Oryctolagus cuniculus: one gene and its partner. Each later gene encodes a partner of the first gene's protein in a complex. Links are inferred from orthologs where the notes say so. Each region holds a gene or a part of one and is shown in the gene's direction. Other genes may lie near its edges.

Region 1 (7,452 bases):
TTCTTTATCCAGTTATCAGTTGATGGACATTGCAGCTGATTCTGTATCTTAGCTATTGATATTATTTTAAGTTAGACATAATTTCCCATAAGAACTTTGAGGCATTTTTGATCAACATCTTACTTCCACTGTCACTGTGAAGTAATGTGATGCCATTCTGTTTGACAATTCCTCCTTTTTTTCCTCTGGTAACATTCAGGATCATTTCCTTGCCTCTTAAGTTCTGAAACTTGATAATGGTGTTGCTTGATGTGATCTATTTTTCTTTCTTGTACTACTACATACTCCATAGGTTCTTTTTCATTAAAAAATCTGGGTCATTCAATCCTGGGACATTTTCTGAAATTTATTTTCTTTGAAAGTTCCTCTCAATTTTCTCTGAAATGTTCTTGAAAAGTGTGTTTCCCCTCCAAAATAGTTAATAAGTTTTCAAGTTGTAAGTAATTCTCTTGAGTTTATTATTGCCTCTGCTATCTTTCCCAAAGAAGTGATTCCAGAATATTAAGAGTCTAAAGCCAGAAATAAAGAAAAACTACTTCCATCTCACAGGGAACTCTACCTCAAATCCCATTTAACTTGCATGTTGCTGATGCAGGATATTTAACACAGAAACCCTAATTCAGGGATTTCCACCTCTGGGATGCTCTGATTGATGTGTATACCAGTTCCCAAACCACTCACTGATAGGCTGGGAGGGAAGAGAGGGAAACCAAGAAGGAGGGAGAGAGGAAGGGAGGAAGGGAGGGAAGGAGGGAAGGAGAGAAGGAGGGAAGGAAGGGTGGAAGGAAAGGTAGAAGGAAGGGAGGGAAAAAAACTGATGATCCCCTCCTTGGTGTACATTTCACAAATATTTTCCAGAATCTCTGCATACTAAGAAGTGCATACAATCTGTTGTAACATTAATACAGTGGTGTTGAATACCTGCATTTAGAAATGAAAAATCACCGTGGAAAGTCACTTCATAAAATCAATACCCTGGGATGACCTATACTTTTCCAGATCTTCCATGAAAATCCTCAGCAGCTGAGCTCATTCAGAATGAAACTGCATGAAAAGGATTACAAAAGAAATTTAACAGAAATTTGCAAAACAAGTACTCAGGAGTTTGAAATGTAATTTTAAATAAAGCAGCCTGGAGGAATACTCATAGCGAGAGTCGGGTCTTTTATAAAAACTCTTCTATCTTACATGACATATTCTAACCAATTCAGATGAATTAGAATATTGGGCCAGTATGCAATTGAGAATAATCTAATGCTTCTATGGATTAATATTCTGTTCAGCCTTTAAATCATGGAAGTATAAATCTTACCAATTGAAATTTAAATAAAAAGTATAGTTGAAAATCTTGTGGAGGTGAATTTTTGAAAAATATATTTATTAGACCGCAGGATATGGAATGGGGTCTCAAAATTAATGATGAGTGATGTCCGTAATGATAATTAGAAAATTTTGTGTCTTAAAAATAAAGACAGCATACATTCACAGGAATGATTTGGAAATGTCTGAAGAACTTACATCAGAAAATGAGGATAGAAAGAGTAATGATGTGTTGAATCTAATTTACAATCTCTCTTTTCAGTTAGGTCATCTCAGAGCTTGTTGAACTATCTTCTTTTGGTGTGATGGGAATAATTATCTACTTGTTAAAAATGAGTGAAATAAGTTAATTAATACTAGCATGGCTCTTAAGGGAAAAACTTTTGTGGAATCTGTCCCAAGGAGTTAATAAAACTATATTTCTCCTTAGTAAAAGAAATGAAGCCAGAATTCAGGCTCAACTTAAACATAAATGTGGCTTAGGAATGACAGAGTAATACCACTTGGCATTTCTTAAGTTAGCCTGCTTTTTCTACACTGGATAAAAATAAAGAAAAGAAAGCATCTAAAACAGAACCGCCCTATTACAACCCAAATTTGCCCATGAAAGCAGAAATTTTCTGGCCTGAATCAATGCGTTTTTTCCCTTTTCCGTAGCCTCCCACACTATAATGACTTATGCATGGAATTCAGAGACTTTATATTTTCTTTTGAGTGCAAAGTGAATGCCAACATGGAAAATGTGAATGCTGACCATTTTCAAAGATGGCCACAGGCCTTTGAAGGAACCAAATAGTATCCAGAAAGATCTTTGGTCAGGATATGGCACCAAAATTCTAGTACCTTCCTTAACTTCAACCAGTCTTTACAGGGTGGGAATATTCACCTTTTAGATATATGCTTAGTCAGAATAGCTTGAAATTGGGGGGGGGGGGGCAGAGTCCTTTCTATAAACTGAAGTGACCCAAAACCAGCACAGCAATTAATCTTGTTTATGGCTAGTCAGTAATCCAGCCCCTGTTATGTGCTGACAGTTCTGCATGGAGTAAAAAATTAAAAATGTCTGCTCTTGAATGGCATTTTTCTTCTAAAGTCCAGTAACTTAGTTTCATTGTGGAACAACTTTTGGGTTAGTCAGTTTTATAAGCTGAATTTACATTGGTACAATTTAACTAAGGGTTTGAACGATTAAAGGCAAAAAGAGACGGATACCTGGAATGCATTTCTATTCTGAGCTTATCTTATGCATGACTCTGATGTTTACTTAAATTTTTATAGCTGAATTCTAACAGAAAGATACAAACTAAACTCCTTAAATGCCAAAGAGAATGATACTCAAATTTCCAGAATAGTCCCAATTGTCTTATTAAGCTCACATCTTCTTTGTGGTTTCCTAGCATTCCTGTGTGAGGGGTTTAGAGTTTACACATACTAAAGATATGTAAAGGCAAAGGATGAAGGAATAACCTCATCTGTCCATGGAGATATAAAAGTGTTTTCGCTGCCGGGGCCTGAGACAGAATAAGAGCCTAGTTTGAATCTGAGCTTTCTAAATGTATGATATTGAGCAAGTCATTTAATTTCTCTAACTTCAACAATACTAGCTTGCTGTCTAGCGGAGGCAATACTAGGATGTGTAAATAGATGTATTTCTCCTAAAGCATTGTAAATGGTGTGTGTGATACTTTCTTATTCATAAATTATGTGTTAAGATGAACTGAACTGAATTATTCCATGTTTCTTAATCACTCCCTGGAGTAAATACATCCTGGTCATTTGAGATTGATATTAGTCCTTTCACACACTAATACATTACATATGCTGTCACTGTGGCTCAAGTTATGCATGAGCAGCTCCCTGGTGGCCTTCAGTGCAATTCAAACCAAATAGCAAATCGATTTCTTAAACAACTTGTATTCACAAAAGTGAATCAGGAAAACATGCAAGCTACAGCAATAAATTTCTTCCAGTAATTTTTGTTAAGTATTGAATCTAAATATCTTCTTAATGGCATTTTAAATTTGACCAAAATTATTAAATGTAAATTTTTCTCTTAATACTAGGCTGCTTCTTTAAAAATAGTACTATTAAAGGTATTCAACAGAGGCTTTGTAACTTCTCTTACCTCTACTTTCATAGTGCAGATTAAGTACTGTCTTTTCAAAGATGTGTTTGGACTTTAGAAATGTATTTCTAACTATATATTTTTAAAATTTTTAATAGGTGATGAAATGACAAAACTCACTCTCTACTTCGATCCATGAATTTGAAACAATCTTTCACCAAGTTCAGTCTCTTTTAGGCTCATATGGAATGTATCTCTCTGTCTGATGTTAAACTATGATGACATGTCTGTAGCTATCAGAAAAAGAAGCTGGGAAGAACATGTGACCCAATGGATGGGACAGCCTCTGAATTCTGATGATTGTAACACAACATGTCATCATGGACTAGTAGCTGATAGATTGCAGGCAAGTATGGAAAAAGATGCAACTCTAAATGTGGACCTCAAAGAGAAGTGTGTTTCACTACCGGACTGCTGTCATGGTTCAGAGCTGAGAGATTTTCCTGGGAGACCAATGGGTCACGTTTCAAAGGAGGTGGGTGAAAATGACAGCCCCGAAGGAGAAGATCCATTTCTCTCTCTGGAGGCCAGCACAGAAACATTAGTGCATGTTTCTGATGAGGACACCAATTCTGATCTATCACTGACCGATGATAAGATTTTAACTACCCAAGGGCATAAAACATCAGACCAACATAGCATTGAAGGAGCAGGCTCCTTGGTAAAGACATTGCCTATCATGGAAAATAACCAAGATTTTTATACTTCCTGGAGAATGGCTGGCAAAGCTGATTTAGCACTGGTAGAAGAAAGTGGAGAGAGGAAAGTTGTTGACATTATAAGTAAAAGCCTGGAGCTTTGTAATGATATAAGCTTACATGAAATTCAAGATGCACCCAAAGTAAATACATTAGATTCTTTGAATGTGAAAGTTATTGTGCCTGAGAAGCAACTGCTTAATTCTGCTGTAATTGCTCAGCAACGAAGAAAACCTGATTTCCCTAAAGATGAAAATGAAAGAAACACCTGCAATGTAGGTCACAATGAGTTCTTGGCTATTCCTTGCACAGACAGAGAGCCTCCATTATCAAAAGCAGATTTTGGAAGCTGCCTTCTACAGCCTCCTTTCTGCGCCAGTGGAATGTCAACTGAAAATGGCCTGGAAAAGAGTGGTTTCTCAGAATATCAAAACAGAAGTCCTCCAAAGGTCAACGCAGAAGATGGCATGCAGTGTTTACACTTACAGGAGCCTCTGGCCACCCAGGAACCCACAGATAGCCAAGTCAGACTTCGCAAGAGAAAGGTAAGCTGCATGCAGATTATCTGCCTTCTGAAATTGTGGACCTATCCTTGTTGTCATCACTTACTCTTTTACTTGGATTAAAGTGATATGTAGAGGTTTCTTTTGCCCTGTAACATGACTGCATAATTCACAAATTATCTGTTTGATGAAACCATCAAAATATGTAAAAATTAAAATATGATAATTGATCCACTATACCAATAACATTTATAATGGTTTTCAAACATTGTATTGTGGAATTGTGTTGAAGAAAGAAGGTTGATATCATTCTCACTGAAACTGAATAGTCACCACTCATTCATAATTCTGTAGTTCAAGACTATCTGAAGAATGATAGCTAATTTTGAAAAAGAAAGTTGTTTAGGGCCTATTCCTTTTTCCTCCAAAAAGTAAATTTTATCCTAATAAATGTGGTATAAATCACATGTTAAAAATAACCCCTTTATGTACATGAAGACAACAGTACTCCCTCTCCCAAAATGTGCTGATGTCATTTTAATGATACCTTGGCAGTTCATTGTCCACAGTATATCATGGTCTCCATTCCTTGCCACAACTTTTCTTTAACTCTTGACCCAAAAAATGCCTATAACTGAAGTTATTTTTCTATGTCAAGGTCCCTTTGACAAATTCTGGAGATGCCATCATCCCCTAAGAAATTCCCAAGTGACAGAAGCAAGGGCTAGAATGAGGTTACATGAATCATGGCTTGACTAGCAAACTCCTGGCCAAAACTTGTCTTATCTTTATGATTTTCCCCAAATTCTTCCAACATTATAGTGCTCTATAATTCTGATATAAATCCAAGCACAATTTCTTCTCCTATAAATCCCATATAGCCATTGGCATTGAAGAAGCCCTGCAGATTGTACATTTTTATGCAACAATTAAAACACTTCCTTGAGCTTCTCTTGATATAATGTTAGTGCATAATTGCAATTCTTTCAACAAAGCTAATGTTGTTAATTTTCTTCCACTGGGGCTATCTATCTACAATAAAAGAAGTCCTGGACTCTCTTTGTGTTGAAGAAATCTGGTTTCCATAAACTGGTTTTGATTACAAACTAGATCAGTAACATGACATGAAGTTAGTATAAGTGAAGTCAAGGACTTAGGGCAAAATTCAGTGTACTCAGACTGTATGCCGTACAAGCATTTCACACTTCTGGAAAACTCTCCCTTCCTTGCATGAATTGTATAAAAACATTAATACTCCATAAAGTTGTTATGATTAAAATGTTCAGGTCATTAATTTCCTAAAATTTCCATGTATCCTATCAAATCTGTTGGAGAGAATGCAATAATGACATAAGAAAGCATTAACTGACCTATGACATGGCTTCCCTAAAGTAAGACAAATTTTTCCCAACTGCCGACAGAAACATTAAACATTCCCAAAACATATGCTCACCACTTGGACATTTATATCAATACTAAGAATGCTGGAAAGAATTTGCTCTTGGACATGTCACTTTAGCATGGTTGCATTTTGAGAGCTATAATTATAGCTCATTTACAAGTTCTAACTTAAATAATTCTATTTTAAGCATTTCATCATGCTAAAATGTTGTGGCATTGTCTGGTGGAATATTTACTTTGATTCTACAACCCATTTAGGATGCCTTGTAATGAATAAAAATGCAAATTTTAAGATCAAATTTTACTGTGGAAAAGTATAGTTATGAGAGAAGCGCCTAGAATTAAGATGTGTAGAATTTTTTGTTTTTGTTTTTTTTTGGGGTGTTGAATGAGTGTTAAAATATCTTTAAGTTGGCTATTAGCCATTTAAGAACTTTACCAAGAGATATAATAGAACATATATATATATATATAAAGATATATACAAAGATGTTCATCATTGTATCATGTTACTGCAAAGGAGGAGACAGCCTATTTCCATCTGAAAAGAATGTATTTAGTTATGGATCCATTTGTGAATAGCTATGCCGTCTTTGACAAGATGGAATGGGATCCATGTACACTAGCTGTAAAAAATATGCATGATGCAGTGTATATGGGGGAAAAACAGTAACAGACCAATATGCATAGCACACTCAAGCCTCACATGACAAAGTGTTTATGTACATATAGAAATTAATAAAAATATAGACAGGAGTAGAAACCTCTTTATAATACTGAATAAGAATATGCAAAATCCTGACCAAAATGCACAAAATTGTTAACAGAAGTTACTTTGATTTTTTGCAATTAAGAAAGTAAAAGAGGATTTTCACTTGCCACCCTACATAATCTTTGAAAAAGATGAAGCCGACGTTGCGGCTCAATAGGCTAATCCTCTGCCTTGCGGTGCCGGCACAGCGGGTTCTAGTCCTGGTCGGGGCGCCGGATTCTGTCCCGGTTGCCCTCTTCCAGACCAGCTCTCTGCTGTGGCCTGGGAGTGCAGTGGAGGATGGCCCAAGTGCTTGGGCCCTGCACCCATGGGAGACCAGGAGAAGTACCTGGCTCCTGCCTTCGGATCAGCGCGGTGTGCCGGCCGCAGCAGCCATTGGAGGGTGAACCAGCGGCAAAAGAAGACCTTTCTCTCTGTCTCTCTCTCTCTCTCACTGTCCACTCTGCCTGTAAAAAAAAAAAAAAAAAAAAAAAGATAAAATTATAGGTGAAATGAATACAATGAACAGAAGCACAAAAGTAAAGTAAAATTAGATAAGTAAACTCTTTGGAACATTTTTTGCATTGCACAAAAATTTTTATAATATTATCACTTTTATAAAATGAACAAAGATTTATATAGATATATAGATAG
Region 2 (6,806 bases), on another chromosome or scaffold:
GGCCATCCCGGGTACCCCGCCCTGGTGACCTACGGCTACGGAGGCGCAGTTCCCAGCTACTGCCCAGCCTACGGGCGGGTGCCTCACAGCTGTGAGCCTCCAGGAGAGGCCAGAGGGTATTCCAGCCCGGGTACCCACTCCCCAAGGGCCGGCTCCATTTCACCGGGCAGCCCACCCTACCCACAGTCCAGGAAGCTGAGCTATGAGATCCCCGTAGAGGAGGGAGGGGACAAGTACCCACTGCCTGGACACTTGGCTTCAACAGGACCCTTGGCATCTGCAGGTGAGGGGCGCTGGGGTGGGTAGTGCTGGGGTCTGGGAAGGCAGTGAGAAAAATACTATGCCAGACTAGAATGCCCTTCCTGCTCACGGCCACCCAATGCCCTTGGCAGAGTCGCCTGAGCCCACGTCCTGGAGGGAGGGCCCCAGCGGGCACAGCACACTGCCGCCGTCCCCCCAGGATCCCCAGTGCAGCGCGTCTTCAGAGCTATCTGGTCCCTCCACGCCCCTGCATACCAGCAGCCCGGTGCAGGGCAAGGAGAGGTAGGCAGCGGGGGCCGGGGCTGCCCAGACAGGCTTGGAGGGCGCTCAGCTCACCGGCTGCCTTTCTCCCCACAGCACCCGGCGACAGGACGCCAGGTCCCCCACCTCGGCACCCGCGCAGAGACTGAGTCCTGGCGAGCCCCCCGTTTCCCAGGGAGGTGCTGACAAGGCTGCTGAGATGCCAGCGAGAAGTGGGCCTGAGCCTCTGGCCCCAAGCCCCTTCACAGCGGCCTCCCCGCCCAGCTCACCCAGCAACTGGCCTCAGGAGAGGAGCCCAGGGAGCCATGCGGCCGGTGCCAGTCCTCGGGGCCCTGTGCCCACTACGCTGCCCGGCCTCCGCCACGCCACCTGGCAGGGCCCTCGAGGTCCCCCAGACAGCCCAGATGGGTCCCCCCTCACCCCTGTGCCTACCCAGATGCCCTGGCTTGTGGCCAGCCCAGAGCCACCCCAGAGCTCACCCACGCCTGCCTTCCCCCTGGCTGCATCCTATGACACCAGCAGCTCCACCCAGCCCCCGCTTCCTGAGAAACGCCATGTGCCAGGGCCTGGGCAGCAGCCAGGACCCTGGGGCCTAGAGCAGGCGTCGCCGCCAGCCAGGGGCACCAGTCACCATGTCACTTTCGCACCCCTGCTCCCGGACAGTGCCCCTCAACCCCCAGGTACCAAGGCCTCCAGAGGGTGGGGCCTCCTCCAGAACTTTCCCCCAGAGAAGGGAGCCCTGGGGTCTAACTCCAGTGCCTCCCTGGTCTAGAGCCACCAATGCAGGAGAGCCAAAGCAACGTCAAGTTCGTCCAGGACACATCCAAGTTCTGGTACAAGCCACACCTGTCCCGTGACCAAGGTGAGCCGCCAGCCTGCCCCTCCCACCCCACCGCCGGGGTTTCTGTCTTGGGTTCTCAGAACCATTCTAGCTGGCCATGCCTGGGCTCCTGCTCCTGGCTCCAGAGCCGGTGATTCTGGGATTTGGACCCAAGGAAGTTAAGACTCAACATCATCCAAAACCCTGCAAACACTCTCAAGTTCCATCCCCAGACTCCCGGCAGCCCACTGGGCTGCAGTCCGGGCAAGATAGGCCTGGGTGCCCGCCCGCTAGCAGAGGAGTTTGGCGGCCGGCGCAGGGCTGAGCCAGCCGCTGTGGAAACCCAGCCCTGCCTCTCCTCCTGCCTGCAGCCATCGCCCTGCTAAAGGACAAGGACCCTGGGGCCTTCCTGATCAGGGACAGTCATTCATTCCAAGGAGCTTACGGGCTGGCCCTTAAGGTGGCCACCCCCCCACCCAGCGCTCAGCCCTGGAAAGGTACACAAGCCCGAAGCTGGGGGGGGGGGGGCTTGGGGGGAGGGGCTGTGCCCGAGGCAAGGCAATGGCGGGGAGTGGTGGGTGGACAGGAAGATGGGGCTGTGCTGCTCAGGAGAAGTGGGGGATGCTGAATGTGTGGCTACAGCCTCACTTTCCTCTCGTCTCTCCTCCCAGGGGACCCCTTGGAACAGCTGGTCCGCCATTTCCTCATCGAGACTGGGCCCAAAGGGGTGAAGATCAAGGGCTGTCCCACTGAGCCCTACTTCGGTGAGATGCAGGGGCCAGGGCTGGCTTAGGGAGGCCAAGGGCTGGCAAGAGGGTGCCGGGCCCTTGGGGACTCTTCTCGCCTCCTGCCCACAGGCAGCCTCTCCGCCCTGGTCTCCCAGCACTCCATCTCCCCCATCTCCCTGCCCTGCTGCCTGCGCATCCCCAGCAAAGGTGGGTGTCTGCGGACCCCCTCCCCGGTGCCCCCCACCCTGAAGCCTCCCCTGGGGAAGCTGCTAGAGCCCTCTGTTCCCGGGGAACACGTTTGCCTGCTCACCTCCCCTGTTGGCCCTCGTTTCCTCCCAGATCCTCTAGAAGAGACCCCAGAGGTCCCAGTGCCCACCAACATGAGCACGGCGGCAGACCTCCTGCGTCAGGGCGCAGGTAGAGACCCCCGTTCCCTCCCCCTGAGCACCGCTGGGCTGCTGCAGGTACAGGGCCTGGTAGGCTTTGAGGCAGATGAGCTGTGGCAGGTGCACTTCACCCGTGAAGGGGGCCTGGGTCAAGGCTCTCCAGTCTCAGGGGAGACCAAGGGGAGGGGCCTGGTTAGCATACAGAACCCCAGGCCGCTTTTCAGCATTTCTGACCTGTACATCTGAGGGTTTCATGCAATCGTTCTGACAAGTCGCCTAAGTGATCACAATGCGACCTGACAGCACTAGCTGGGGAGAATGCCAGGGCTGGCTGGGGGCTGGCAGCGTCAGCGCTCCCTCCCTGACACAGCCTGTGCCCCTGCAGCCTGCAGCGTGCTCTACCTGACCTCGGTGGGCACCGAGTCACTGACGGGCCCCCAAGCTGTGGCCCGGGCCAGCTCGGCAGCTCTGAGCTGCAGCCCACGCCCAACGCCAGCCGTGGTCCACTTCAAGGTTTCAGCCCAGGGCATCACACTGACGGACAACCAGAGGAAGTGAGTCCATGTGCCCGTGCCCCTGGGGGCTCTGGGGGCCCTGGCGTCCCTGTGTGACTAGCGCCCCTCCCCCTTGCAGGCTCTTCTTTCGCCGCCATTACCCGGTGAATAGCATCACGTTCTCCAGCACTGACCCTCAGGACCGGAGGTGACCCTCGCTCCACACCCAACCCCCCACTGCCTTGTGCTCCCACAGGCCCCACCCCCAGCTCCCCCTCCCGCTGCTCCTTCATGGTTCTCCTCCTTTGCAGATGGACCAACCCCGACGGGACCACCTCCAAGTAAGCCTTCCTTGGGCGCCGTCCCCTCCTTCCCAAGGCTGGCAGTGGAGCCAGACGACCCCACCCCTACCCCCGCCAGCTACATTCCCTCATGGAGGGCAAGCTGATGCCCCTCCCACCATGGCTTCGCCCCCTCCCCCACCAGGATCTTTGGTTTTGTGGCCAAGAAGCCAGGAAGCCCCTGGGAGAATGTGTGTCACGTCTTCGCAGAGCTGGACCCAGACCAGCCCGCAGGCGCCATCGTCACCTTCATCACCAAAGTTCTACTGGGCCAGAGGAAGTGAAGAAGGCCACGCGTGCCCCGCCCACGTGCACACTGCGCCCTCCCAGCATCCTGCAGCCCTCACTTCCCCCGGCCTGGACCAGGGGGCCCAGGAACCAGCACCCTCCCCTGGGAACCGGGAGTGGGCCTTCACCTGGGACCCTGCTCTCCCCCTCCCCCCAGCCTGCTAAGCTAAGTGGATGGGCCCACGAGATGACCTTGCACGTGAGCAGATGGCAGAGACGGGCGTGTGACGGGGAGCAGGACAGCCCCGGCTGCAGGAGGACACCAGCCCCGGAGGGGACTCGGGCCCTGCCGGCTCCACCCAGCTGCAGGGCCCAGCGCGGCAGGGAGAGGGTGGAGTGTGGGGGCAAGTCATTCCCCGCTCTGCCCCCTCTGAGCAGACACCACAGTGGGATCACAGGAACGGGGAAAAAGAGAGTCTATTTTTGTCTAAGAATACAGAATTTCTATATACTTTGGTTGGAGCTGGAGTCGTGCCTTATTCCCAGGGTCTCTCAGGGACATGCCTGTGCGTCCACGGCCAGTCCCAGCAACATCCTCCTACAGGCTCCTTAGCCCTGGCTACCACGGGTTCCCGTCCGCCCTGCGGACACACTGCCCCAGCTGCCCCTCCCTCCAGCCATTCTAGGCCTGCACACTGTGAAGGACGACTATGGAAACTCCATCTTTACTGGCTGTGTAAACATCTCTGGTCTGTACATACATTTCACACATCATAGTGCAGGGCCTGAAACCAGGGCCAAGGGGGCAGCTCCCCCACCACCCCACAGCCCGACCCACTCTGTGCAAACCGAGGCCCGAGGCTCCCAAGGCCCTCCTCCAGGGAGAAGTCACGTTACAGGGAGGGGCCCAGGGGGCAGAAGGAGCTCTGAGGCTGGGGGACACAAGTGAGTGCTAGAATCAAACACTGAAGCAGACAGGCAACTGGCACAAGCAGCAAGCGGGCATGGGGACAGAGCCGGGTGCGGATGGGGCTGAGGGGCCCTAGGGTCTCCTCCTGACCCCGCGGAGAGATGAGCCCAGAGCCTCAGGCACCATCCAGGGAGCTGGGGCCGAGGGTGCCCCGGGTGAGGAGAAGATGTTGAGGGCCCCCTGGCCCCTCCCTCTGAGATGTGGGATGGGTGACCATCTGTGTGTATGCAGGTGGGGGGGCAGAGACTCGGGCTCTGTGCGGGCCCACGGTGCCTGAACGGGAAGAGGAAGGGAGAGAAAGCCAGCTCTCTGGGGGAAAGAACGGAGGAGACCCAAGGGGAGTCTCAGGGCAGTAGCCAATGAAAGGAGCAAGGTGGCCCAAGAGGCCCCCCCCCAGCCCAGCCAGGGGGGTGACAGCAGCAGCTGGTCCACATGATGAGGACAGAAAACAGAACAGAGAATTCTTCGAGAAACACCATGGCGAGTCGGGGGCGGGGCTTCTGCTCCACCCGCTGCAAAGTGCCACGCCCACATAGCAGCTGAGACTGGGCACCCGCCCGCTCATTCCCATGGGGCCAGTGAGGGAAAGGGGACCCAAGCAGGTGGGACCCCTCCTACAGCAACACCATTCTTTGGGCCCATTCCTGGCCAACCAGGGACTCAGGACAGGGACTGACAATAAGGGAGGCACCAGGTCAGAAACGTGGGCAGAGGAGCTGGACAGGGGCCTGCACTGGTAAGGGCAGACAGACCCTGCAGCGGCCCGGGGCCTGGTGGGCGAGCAAACCCTTAGGTGCCCGGCCCCGCAGAGTGAGTAGAGGGAGAGGGCCTAGCCGCTCAAGGGGTGCAGGTCTACCTTGACCTTCTCCCCACAGCTTAGCATCCCAATTGTGGGGAAGAAGCCTCCCGACGGCACCACAGCATCCTTCTTGCCAATGATCTTGCCATTCCGGGTGAAGAAGACCTGGGGGTGGAGGTGGGGGAAGAATGGAGGAGGCGGGCTATGGCCTCTTCTGGTGTTGGAGCTACACAGTCCTGAGCTCCAACCACTTCCTACAACCCAGCACGGCCTTGCCGAGGCACAGAGGGTAGTAAGAGCAGAGGCCACAAGAGGGCGTCCAGGGCTGGAAAACCTCGGCCCCCCCACCTCAGCAGATGGAGCACGCAGACCCTCCTTCTCCCACCCTGCCCAGCCCCGCGCCACAGCCTCCCCCACTCACCACCACCTTCTTGCCCTCATGCTCTTGCTCTATCTCTTCCCCATCGTCTTCCTCTTCCTCTTCCTCCTCTTCCTCCTCCCCTTCCTGGTGCAGGTACATGACGTTCCGGACGTTCCGGACAGCCCGGGCAGTTGGAGACAGAATCACTGTGTCACAGCTGTCATCACTGTCCCCTGGGAAACCAGGAAACCTCAGCTCCCGTTCATGCTGGGCAGCCACTGGCAGCCACTGGCCACCCCGCCCCGCCGCACCCCACTGACCTTCACTGTCCAGGATGTAGTCCCGGGGGAACATGATGCCACAGCCCATGATGTCCCCCTTGTAACAGCGTGGCCCGAAGGGGTCCCCCATGCCACTGCCATGGAAGATCTTCCCGTCATCTGTCACAGGGAGAGGACAAGACCTGTGCTTGAGGGAGCCCAGAGCCACCCCGACTGGCAGCGGTCACCTCCCCACCCACGGTGCGGGCTCAGTGGAAGGGAGCACCCAACAGGAAACGAGGATGGAGACAGACGTGGGGAGGGGGCGCCCAGTGACAAGAGCAGGGACACGAGGTCCCTCAGCACAAGGGGAAACCTGCTGGGGAGCTGCTGGCAGAGAGGGGAGGGAGAGGCGGAAGCCCTGAAGGCACCCAACAGGCCAAAAAGGAGAAAGAAAAGGAAACCAGGACCCTGCAGATCTGCAGGAGGGGCCCAGGGGGGCCTGAAATGTCCAGCTCGGCCCAATCTCCCACCACGATCTGCTACCCCGGCTTTCCGGGCTGGGAGAGGAAACACAGATGAGGAGAAAGCACTGGCAGCCAGGGCCAGGCCACTGGGAGCCCCTCCAGTCCACTCCCTCAGCTGCATGTCCTCCACTCACCTGCATGATAAGCCACAGAGCCTCGGCTCCAGCCGGGGTGCCTGTTCTTGGGGTAGTCCTGCAGTGAGCAGAGAGGAGGAAACCCATGGAATCACGCACAACAAAGGACAGGACAGGGCGGCAGCCGGATCACCCATGTTTTTGGAATAGACGCCCACCCAGACAGCTGCTCCCCGGCCCCCAGCCTCTCGCATCCTGGGGAGGTAAGGAGAGGGCTCGGGGCGCCCACCCTGAGC

What was found. The genes of interacting proteins can lie anywhere in the genome.
Region 2: the proteins of DLC1 (region 1) and TNS2 are in contact, whole or in part, in an NMR structure (PDB 2LOZ), measured with the Homo sapiens proteins. The link is inferred for Oryctolagus cuniculus from reciprocal best matches to the Homo sapiens genes DLC1 and TNS2. Residues at the interface, in NP_001335010.1 of Homo sapiens: Glu811, Asp812, His813, Lys814, Pro815, Gly816, Thr817, Phe818, Pro819, Ala821, Leu822, Thr823, Asn824; in NP_736610.2 of Homo sapiens: Asp1268, Leu1269, Leu1270, Arg1271, Gln1272, Gly1273, Ala1274, Ala1275, Cys1276, Lys1317, Ser1319, Ala1320, Gln1321, Thr1324, Leu1387, Asp1388, Pro1389, Asp1390, Gln1391, Val1403, Leu1404, Leu1405, Gly1406.

What each region holds. Positions count from the first base shown.
Region 1 is NC_091433.1:77,299,020-77,306,471, forward strand, and holds part of DLC1 (rho GTPase-activating protein 7), read left to right. Parts: intron 1-3,543; 5' UTR 3,544-3,650; coding exon 3,651-4,688; intron 4,689-7,452. UniProt on the Homo sapiens protein: Functions as a GTPase-activating protein for the small GTPases RHOA, RHOB, RHOC and CDC42, terminating their downstream signaling.
Region 2 is NC_091442.1:56,122,254-56,129,059, forward strand, and holds the end of TNS2 (tensin-2), read left to right. Parts: coding exon 1-283; intron 284-392; coding exon 393-543; intron 544-618; coding exon 619-1,202; intron 1,203-1,294; coding exon 1,295-1,384; intron 1,385-1,713; coding exon 1,714-1,839; intron 1,840-2,013; coding exon 2,014-2,106; intron 2,107-2,199; coding exon 2,200-2,277; intron 2,278-2,409; coding exon 2,410-2,487; intron 2,488-2,841; coding exon 2,842-3,010; intron 3,011-3,089; coding exon 3,090-3,158; intron 3,159-3,261; coding exon 3,262-3,291; intron 3,292-3,436; coding exon 3,437-3,575; 3' UTR 3,576-4,035; downstream 4,036-6,806. Other genes in the region: SPRYD3 (SPRY domain-containing protein 3), read right to left, coding at 4,562-4,762, 5,346-5,453, 5,710-5,882, 5,970-6,089, 6,571-6,628. UniProt on the Homo sapiens protein: Tyrosine-protein phosphatase which regulates cell motility, proliferation and muscle-response to insulin. Phosphatase activity is mediated by binding to phosphatidylinositol-3,4,5-triphosphate (PtdIns(3,4,5)P3) via the SH2 domain.